2 linked regions of the Zea mays genome follow. Each later gene encodes a partner of the first gene's protein in a complex. Links are inferred from orthologs where the notes say so. Each region holds a gene or a part of one and is shown in the gene's direction. Other genes may lie near its edges.

What was found. Proteins that work in one complex are often made in the same cells at the same time.
Region 2: AUGMIN subunit 4 (region 1) and AUGMIN subunit 2-like share a complex: the UniProt entries of both Arabidopsis thaliana proteins name them as parts of the augmin complex. The link is inferred for Zea mays from reciprocal best matches to the Arabidopsis thaliana genes AUG4 and AUG2.

Annotation. Positions count from the first base shown.
Region 1 is NC_050100.1:72,638,876-72,643,807, reverse strand, and holds the start of AUGMIN subunit 4, read left to right. Parts: upstream 1-1,558; 5' UTR 1,559-1,621; coding exon 1,622-1,756; intron 1,757-1,835; coding exon 1,836-1,883; intron 1,884-1,971; coding exon 1,972-2,055; intron 2,056-2,301; coding exon 2,302-2,655; intron 2,656-2,869; coding exon 2,870-2,969; intron 2,970-3,070; coding exon 3,071-3,116; intron 3,117-3,352; coding exon 3,353-3,446; intron 3,447-3,562; coding exon 3,563-3,634; intron 3,635-3,748; coding exon 3,749-3,807; intron 3,808-3,958; coding exon 3,959-4,027; intron 4,028-4,169; coding exon 4,170-4,221; intron 4,222-4,728; coding exon 4,729-4,806; intron 4,807-4,888; coding exon 4,889-4,932. UniProt on the Arabidopsis thaliana protein: Involved in microtubules reorganization during spindle and phragmoplast development.
Region 2 is NC_050105.1:64,176,091-64,180,865, reverse strand, and holds the start of AUGMIN subunit 2-like, read left to right. Parts: upstream 1-1,670; 5' UTR 1,671-1,771; coding exon 1,772-1,870; intron 1,871-2,500; coding exon 2,501-2,611; intron 2,612-3,615; coding exon 3,616-3,720; intron 3,721-3,880; coding exon 3,881-3,949; intron 3,950-4,077; coding exon 4,078-4,191; intron 4,192-4,443; coding exon 4,444-4,740; 3' UTR 4,741-4,775. UniProt on the Arabidopsis thaliana protein: Contributes to the assembly of the acentrosomal spindle and phragmoplast microtubule arrays as part of the augmin complex.

The DNA of each region.
Region 1 (4,932 bases):
CCTCGTGACCGGCGTGCGGGACCTCCTCCTCCTCGCCCTCCTCCTCCTCCTCCTCCGGTAGCGGCGGTGCCAAATCCACTTCGACCGCCCTGGCGCCCCTCCGCAGGCCAGCCGCGATCCACCCGATGACGTCTTGCCCGTCCAGATCTGATGGGCAAACCAACGCCACGCATGAGTCTGCTGACCGGTTGGGTGAAGGCAGCCGATGGGGAGGAGTTGGAGGACGACAGTGCGCTGCAGGCCGCCGATGGGGAGGTGGAGTCCGACGGTGCGGTGGGGGAGGAGGTGGAATGCGATGATGGGGTGGAGGAGAGGGAGGGGAGGCCGCCGGAGTTGAGCGCAGTGGAGGAAGCGCGCGAGCCCGTGGCTGGAGCCGCCGGCGGAGATTAGGTCGCGGCCGTCGCTGGAGATTAGGTCGCACGGTAGGCTGCACGCTGGACAGTGGGCTGCACGATGGGATGGGCCTCAGATCTACACAAAAATTATTGGGCCGCACGAACCGCTGCCACATGTGTGTGCCATCTATTTTATTAGTGCCACATTGGCCATTGAGAGTAATGGAACATGGCTTATAAGGGCAGCTGTGGATTCTATGTTGCTCACTAAGAGAGATGGGACGGAACGTTGAGAGAGATGGAACGGAACAGAATGTAGCACATAAACTTGTGCATGTATTGTTTATTTTGTTGCGCGGGACTAACGGAGACAGAACAGCCGTTGGCAGAACGCGTCAGAGGCAGAACACGTCAGAGGCAGACTACTATTGCTTACTTAATAAGTAGTAGAGATATTGATTCCGTAGCAACGCACGAGCTTACACCTAGTCAAATATATATAAGATTAAGAATATAACACAACATTACATTACCTAACATTTAAAATACATATTTAGAATTATATGGCTAAGCCTATGTTAAATCTACAATTAAATCTACAAAATTGTGGTAGTGCTGGTCTGTCTTCTGAACCCGTGATTTGAGACTATCTCGATCCCTATAAAATTAGTGTAAAAACAAAGAATCTTCTGTAGTAATTTAGAAACGTATCATGTGCAAATCTACTTTTTAGTGTAAACCGTGCAAACAAGTGTTTTTTTAAATAACTCCTACTGTGCATTAGCTTCAAAACTTGCGCCAACGTGTTGTTTTGCACTTGATATATTCCAGTAATTTTTTTTGTTAATCACCACTTCCCACTAATGACTGAAAACTACTTTAGAGCCACGGTGGCCTAGATCTATTTTTAACCGGATTGTTTGTGTAATTTATATAAATTTTGATTAGTTGAAACGATTCTAAATGCATTTATGTATAATCGAACATGGGCACATGCCTTACTAAGATCAAACGCTATCGATAATTCGTCGTTTTCTGTTTCAGCATTGTATTGTTTTTTTACCTCAGTTCTCACACGACTACACGAGTGACACCAGCTGGCTTTCACAAGCTTCTCTTGCATTGAAACCATCCGGCCGGCCGCGATCTGACCCGTCCATTTGCCGATCCAACGGCCACCAACCCACCACCACCACCTCACGAGCCCAACCAAATTCAAACCAACGCTACCGTGCAACCAAACCAACCAACCCCATTCCTCCGCCGGCCGCCGGCAGCCGCCCGCGATGTCGAAGGCCGCGGCAGCGTCCCTCCCGCCGCCGCCGCCAGAGGTGGCGCACCTTGTGGAGCAGCTCCAGCGCCACCACCTCGCCCCGGACGCGTCCCTCCTCTCCAGCTCCGCGCACTCCGACCTCCTCCAGGTACGCCCGCCCGCCGCGCCCGCCACCCTCCTCACCCTACCGGCCTACCGCTGCTCACCTGATCCCTGTGCCGGCGCAGGCGCGCGAGGAGGTCGCGGCGGAGCGCGCGCTGTACCTCGAGGCACTGGTGAGTCCCGACTCCCCGCCCGCCTCGTCGGATCCGCATTTTAGGTTTTGCTCGCCGGGTTCTCATCAGATCCGGCGCTGTGCCGTAGGCGGTGTACGCGGAGGCGGTGGCCATGGTGGAGGAGTACCATGCGGCTGCCGGCGCCGGCAAGAAGCTCAACTGCTCCCCGCAGGTTCTGCTCCTCTGTGACGAGTCCTCATTTTAAATTGACTGGTGCAATTGTGCAAATATATCTTCAAATGTGAGTTGGGTGGGCAGTACTAGCTGAACAATAGACCGTGGAATTCCGCACGGTTGGTCAATGGGAATTCCTCATCGTTGGTTCAATTGACTTAGCACCATGTTCGGGAAACTGTCCAGCAAAAATTACATTCTGATTCAGTCGCTGAGCTTTGTCGGTTCTGAACTTCTGATCCAGGTGTACGAGTCTTTGGAGCACCGGTTGGCCGTGGCAGAGGCAGCACAGAGGCTTAGGCTCCCACTGCTCTCTCAGGACGGGGAGGTCCATGAGCAGGAGATCGAAAAGCTGAGCACCTATTCAAGAAGTTCATTCGATAGCACCCTCACAAGCGCGACACCCAGCTCAAGTTCAATCTCGACGAGTTACAACAATTATAGCAGCAGCGCTAGTGCGGTGACTGTTGCTGCTCCACATTGGAGTGGTAGTTCTGATGCAGTTGAACCTGGAGTTGGTGGTGTTCCTGACCGTTTTCTTGGGATCACTTCTGATTATCTCTACCAAGTGCAACAAGAGCAGCCAGCCATGTCTGTTGTAAGAACATTTTTTCGTGCCTAAATGGTCAATTCAAACCTTGTTACTTTTTTTATGTGGTTAACGTAATTCTGGTATATACCTTTAGAAGTGCAAAACTATTCTGTAACCAATTTTAGACTATGTTGCGTTTTATCCTTTTTGTCAATGAGTGAAAGAATAAATAAAATCTTCACCTGAACTTTGAAAGCATCTGCTTTTGTGTTGATTACAGGACATGGTTGATTATCAGAGAACTTTGGCTAGGGAGATTGAAGCCCGGTTAGAAGCCAAGTGTGATGCTTTGGCTGATCTATTTGCTATGGATGAAAGGGGTCAGTTACTGAAACTAGTGGAAGATTAGGAGAGAGGGATGGAGCAGTCCAAATTCTGGTTCTGGTTATTATTCTGTCTTACCTTAACATCTTTGCTGCAGATTCGTCATCCCTCAGTCAAATTTCAAGTGCTAGGCTTCCAGAAAGGTAGACTTTCTTATCTTACATTTTACATCACACTGTACCAATCACCTATTTAATATTAATACCATCTCACCGTCCCTTCTTTGCTGCAATCCCATCCATTTACATAGCCAACATATCTTGGCATGAGTGCCCAATTTTCCATGGAATTGGAAACTCATGTGGAGCTTGTGATATGATGAAGTTGGACAGGCGTCCCTGATAAGTATTCCTCATTTTTTTTACTTCCCATTTGACAGGGTAAAATTAATCATCGAAGAGATAGAGAAGGAAGAGGCACATCTCCTGGAGGACCTTGCTTCAATGGACAGAAAATTTGCTGAACATTATAATGTATGTTTGTATGCCTTTACTAATGCCTATTTTTTCAGAGGTGCACTGACTTTACCTTGGCACAAATTCTTTCTCGCACCTCTAAGTAATTAGCTATGGTTCTGAAAATTCCAAAGGTCTTGGAGCAAATTCTTGCTGTGCTTATACAGTTTGTTAAAGACAAGAAATTGGAGCATCAGCACCAATTTGTAAGCATTCTCATATTCTGTTCTCTGGTTGAACTTCTTCAAAGTAAACATGTCACATTTTCATACTGTTAGTATTATTAGTCGAAGTGTTTAACATGTCTCATTGTCTAACAGGATGATCTGAAGAAGACCTGGCTTATCAAAAGGTGTCGGACAATGAATGCTAAACTAAGGTTGGTACTCGCAACAGTGATCATATTATAAGTGTACAACAGTTGTTACTCTATACAACAGTTCTCTCTCTATATATTTTGAATTCCCTGTGCTAAGGGATTTGAAGATTAGGTTAACTATATATATATATATATATTACTTTGATTCCAGCTATCTGGAGCATCATCTATTGCGTGACACTTACACCAAGGACACAGTACCAGCACTGCACAGGATCAGGTATAGTTAAGGCAATCGATCTTGTAGTGGATATACTTTTTTAGTCATGTTGCACTTGTTATTCATAAGATGGATTTGATTTGTTAGGTGCCTTTGGTTTTCAGCGAAGGACCTTCTTGTAACATATTAACTGCTTTTGCAGGAAGTATCTTGTAGAGGCCACAAAAGAAGCATCCAATTCTTATAATGAAGCGGTAAGATACATGATTTTGCTTCTTGAAATATTTCCAATGTCTGGTTGTATGAACAGCCAAGAAAAAGCTCTCAAATTGGTGGCTACAACTCACGAAGAGTAGAACTGTACAAATCTTAAGAGCCAATGCCTAGCAGCTACTTTTTAGTGAAAAAACAACTAACTGATACCTTGAGGCTGTATGAAGTAGTTAGCATCAAGTTATAATTAATCATTTATGACTAAGCAAAGTCCTGCTTAGGAAGGTTAAATGTGCAAACATGTGACAACCTATGATTTTAATGTTAACCTGCTGCAGTAGGCAATTTAACCTGATGTAGAGTTTATTCCAGTTGCATAAACAATAACCAGACATATGGTATTCTGTATTTTTTCATTTTTAACTACATGTCTGGAGAAAGAACGGTGCCATACTGCCATCTCAAGGAATATTCCGTCTGAAAAGAACTCATGGAACCCAATGTTCCGCCAGCTAACTGTTTGCTCTGATGATTGTTCTTGGTGTCAGGTTTCGCGGTTGCGTGAGTACCAGGGTGTAGATCCACGGTTCGATGTGATTGCGAGGCAGTACCACGAGATTGTAAAGGTAATCTGGCTCAGTGTTGCTGCCACTAGTTTACCGTATGTTTTTACTTGCTAAGTTGCTAACCCTGGTCGAGCTTCATCAGAAACTGGAGGGCATGCAGTGGACAATTCACCAGGTGGAGATGGA
Region 2 (4,775 bases), on another chromosome or scaffold:
CTAAACTAGGCCAATAATAATCCTCCAAAACAAAACCTCATGCAAATAGTAAAACACGAATATGCAACTAAGGTTTTGTCTAAGTGTTTCTATCTCAACCACAAAAGAAGTTTAGCAACCAAAGTTCCAATCCTACCAACTAGCATATATTCTAAACTAAGAATAGTAAGGATTGCAACTTAAGTAAAACACTAAATGTGAAATCTTAAAGAGAAGGTAGAGGAAGCAAACTCCCAATGGTGTGTTGATACTTTTATCGAGGTATCTAAAACCGTGCAAGGTTCTAACTAATTCTCGCTGGTGCCCCTACACAAAGGCAAGCCCATGCGAGGGTCAAGCACATAGAGAGTCGCGAACTTTCTCCACGCGCAAGTGGTGCTTCGCTTTCAGCTCCTCTTGGACGCTCCCTGTTGTCATCACTATCGAGCTTTTGGTCGAAACATCATGGGTCTCATCTCCTCTGCTACACGGTGGTAGCCACACCACAAACTCGGTTGTTGTGGTCTCACAAGACCTCACACCACTCGGTACAAGTTGCTACAACTCGTGCAAGAGTCGAGGGGTTTGGAGGTGTCTATTCCTCACTCAATCAACTACGACTAACCTAGAGCAAGCACAATAGCGATCTAACTAACCTAAACACTTTGCAAAGCACCTACGCAATCACTAAGTGATTCTATTAAACACTTGGGGTGTATGGAGCAATGGATATGTGTACCAACTCAATAGCGAGTTTGCTCAACTCTCAACACTCTTAATTTGTCGGTTGTGGTATAGAGCCCAATCCCAAATATATCCGTTGGAGGACAACATCTCCTATGCGTTGCACCGGGCCTGGTCCGGAAACCCTCTCCGTCAGCTAGTTGTTGGTCATCTCGTAGATTCCCTGCAATTGTGCAGAGGTCAGGTGCACCATTGGATAGGTCCGGTGACCATCACGTCGGATGGTTGTTTCTGACTAGCCATCGTCGACCGTTGAGTCGAGGTCCGGTGCGCCACCTGGCTCAGGTGCACGAAAACTGCACCTCTGCGCAAGCGGTCCAGTGCACCTACCAACAACCTAGTTTTCTTGATCTTCATGGACCTTTACTTGTGCTTTCTCGGTCTTGTGTTTTGGACTTTTGCTGAATATTTGTGAGTCTTCTACGGATCATTTGATGTCTTCTTTGAGTGAACTATAAACATAAACACTAGCAATTCTCTATATTCTTCCTAATTGATATGAATAGAGATTTTTATAAAAAAATACCCTTCAACAATTTATTCAAATGATTATCTAAATATAGCCATCTTCTATTTCGAGTTTCTCGCTAGCTAAATATAGGAAACGTGAATACTCTCGAGAGTGCATATAAGATATAAAAAAATATTGGAGATTGAAAATATATATAAAGTGGTTTGTGCGTAATAATATAGATAGTGAAATTTAGAAAGACAACTGAAGATGCTCCCTATACATAGGACTGATTTTAGCTAGTTAGCAATTAACTCTTGTATCCAACAGGTGCTAAATAACATGCAAAGGTGTAAAAATAGTTCGATCAACCAAAGCAATTTGGATTGCAAACAAAACAATGAGCGGCTTATTATGTAAGCAGCAGCCATCTGGGGGTTCAAAAAAACAAATTAGATAGAGCTCGCCGAGCAAGCAAGCAAGCCAACTCGGCCGTCCGAACGAAAGCGAAGCGCGGCCAAACTCACTCGCTAAACGCTCCCGTTCTCCTCCGCCTGCCCCCACCGGCTCCCCTTGTACACGAGCGCCGGAGACGCCATGGCGGCGGCGCAGCCGAAGCCGGCCAAGAGGCTGGGCGGCATGGCGGAGGCGCTCGCCATCGCCGCCGACCTCGGATTCCCCGCCTCTACCACGCAGGTCCGTCACACACTACCGCAACTTCCCGATCTGTTTCGCAGCCTAATCCTGCCGCCCGCCTGGTTTGGTTCGAATCCCCGCGCTTCAGCCGGATCTAGCTTTTTTGGTCCGATCGCGTTACGTTGCGAGGAACAAATTGTAGGGTTCAGTTTGTGGAAGCGGTGGCATCTGGAGAGTTAGATACGAAATGATTGTGAAAATGTATGTTTGGAGGCAAGGGTTGCGGCCGAAATAGTGGCATGAGCGCACAAATTTCGTGTGTTTGGGTGGTGTAGCATCTGGTTCGGTTAATCGAGGCTGCATAAGCTTGCGTCATTTCCTGGAGAGAAATTGTGGGATGGCTCTATATTTAGGATAATCGTTGTGAAGAGTTGTTGATCTTAAGAAACTTTGCGATCTTAGAACAAAATGCGAATACAATGAAAACTCAGCATTGCTGTGTGGTGCTATATCTGTTTCGCTGTTTATTTTCTTTAGATTAGTTGCTAAAATTTAAATTTAGGTTTCTATGCCAACAATACAGAATCTGAACTGGATGCACTGGACACAAGCACACAAAAACTGAGGTGGTACCAATGAACAAATGGCCATCTGAAGCCCTCACTATCCCCTCTGTTTCTCTCATTGCAGGAAGATCAGACTAGCTCCGACAAAAGCGATGATTTGGTGAAGGTTTTGAGGGAACTGACTGTCGTGCAGAGGAACATTGCCAACTTGCAAGTGGAGCTACAGGGAAGAAAGGTGATGTTTTTATATCCAGTTGTTAAGCTTTATATGTTTGCACCAGTTACACACAATGCCAAAGCTTTTCAGTTCCTGTACAACATTTCCATTTCATAATGAAATCCCTTTAGATTCTCTATTGAAGGTGGTCAGATTATGGTCCCTTTTGTAAAGTGTGCCATTTCTGGCTTGGTTGCTCATGAAATGAGATTCTAGGCAGGGATGAGAGACTTCCTAATGAGTTACAGCATTTTGGGGATACAGTATATTCATACGATATATCTACATGTTGACTGTTAGTATGAGCATTACTTTACGTAGGAGTGGTAATGGGATCTAAATTTTACACTATAAAATTTAAGTATCGAATCGGATTAGGATCGAGCTCTATTCCTATACATTTTTGAACTAAAATTAATTAGGGTCCCTAACTTATTGTGAAGAAACATTTAGATCGTGATCTATTACCATCCCTACCTTTACCATGAATATTTGTGGTGATATCAAAGGGAATGTATTTTTTTTCTTTTAATTCCAATTTTTATTTTTTCTAACAATGAATTTGTTAGATGATCACACTTATTGGAACTATGTCTGATACTCTGGTCCTTGAAGAATGATTAAAGATGTCCGCATATCCTTAAGATCTTACGGCTAAATCTTTTTTAGCCTAGTAGTATGTACAATAGGGCAGGTGAGTCCAAGTGGCTCCTTGAGCCAGCCCTCAAACTGGCGACCTGGAGTCGATCCCTGGCGTTGGCACCAGGAGGCCCCTCTGTTGGCCTTGTGAAAAAAGAAAAAAACGATAATGTATGAGCATGTTGATGCCATACTAATATAGTAATGTGGGATTGGAAAAGGAAAATAAGCGTTGTCATAGTGTCTATGTTTGAACCCAGTACTTTCCAGCATGCTGTTTTCCGATAGTGCCATATCCATTTTCTATATCTTATTTTCGTAGATTTTCCTTTGATTCTATGGTATTGTCATAGGTCATATTCATGAAGTTTTGTTTGCCACAGGATGATAAAAACATTGCTCATTTGACTCATGTGAGTGAGATGGAAAAGAAGTGCGAGTCTTTGGCCAGAATGACTGCAATTTTGAAAGATGTAATTCAGAACAAGGTAATATAAGCCACATACCTGCATTGTATTATTCTTGCTTCCTTTCTTGAGTTTCAAGGTTATATGTTGTTTTAGTCAGATGTGTCAAGAGCAGTTACATATGCATTAGCCAGTTGATCACTTGATCTACGTGTCTAAAATTGTGTCTATTGTCTATCAGGATCGTATTATTGCTCGGCTGCAACAGCCTTATTCCCTTGACTGCATACCAGTTGAAGCTGAATACCAGGTAATTTATTTTTGTTCTTGTCTTGCAATTTCTATAGCAATTAGCAAACAACATGATAATGTTGGCCTACCCCTAATGCATTTTCATTGCTTTCTTTTTGCCTGCTTAATGTGCTGATCTCTTGTCAGAAACAATTCTCGGAGCTACTTCTGAAAGCAGCAAGTGACTATGGGGCATTGACAGCATCAGTCGGCGATTTCCAGTGGAGCCAAAACTTTAGGGAATCACCAGCTGTCTGGGGGGTAAGTTAATTTTTTTAATCGGAGTCATAACAAAGTCATCCTATGAATACACTTTCCACTTGTACAAATATATTCATGTTTTTTTCTCATTTTTAGAGATAGTATATGATTTATCATGAACCCATGTCAGGATAACAGTGCATTTTGTTATGTATTCATTGTGACTAACATGCCTTACAACAACTCAAAAATCTTGTACATATGTCCTCTGTCATTAGTTATAGGTTTAAATTCCTCTTTCTCTTAATGAAGGAAATGCTGCGACCGATTCCTGCTGCACTTGCTTCCTGCACCCGGTTCTTCGAGGCAATGTCTGCGATGAGGGAATCCTTTTCTACTCTTCAGAAACTACGCGTTGGCCATTCCTCTCTGTCAATAACCCCAAGTGACTCCAGCGACGATTCAAAGTTCTTGACGCCACCTCAGTGGAGAGACGGCTCGATACTCGATAGCTGGAAGCAAATGGATGACATCAACCTGGAGAGCAGTGGAATTGACGCCATGAATCAGAGGAGGTTGTCTTGGCCCTCCATCAAGAGGGACCCGTAGGTCGCAGGTCACCCATTGGATTTAGGTTCCCATGT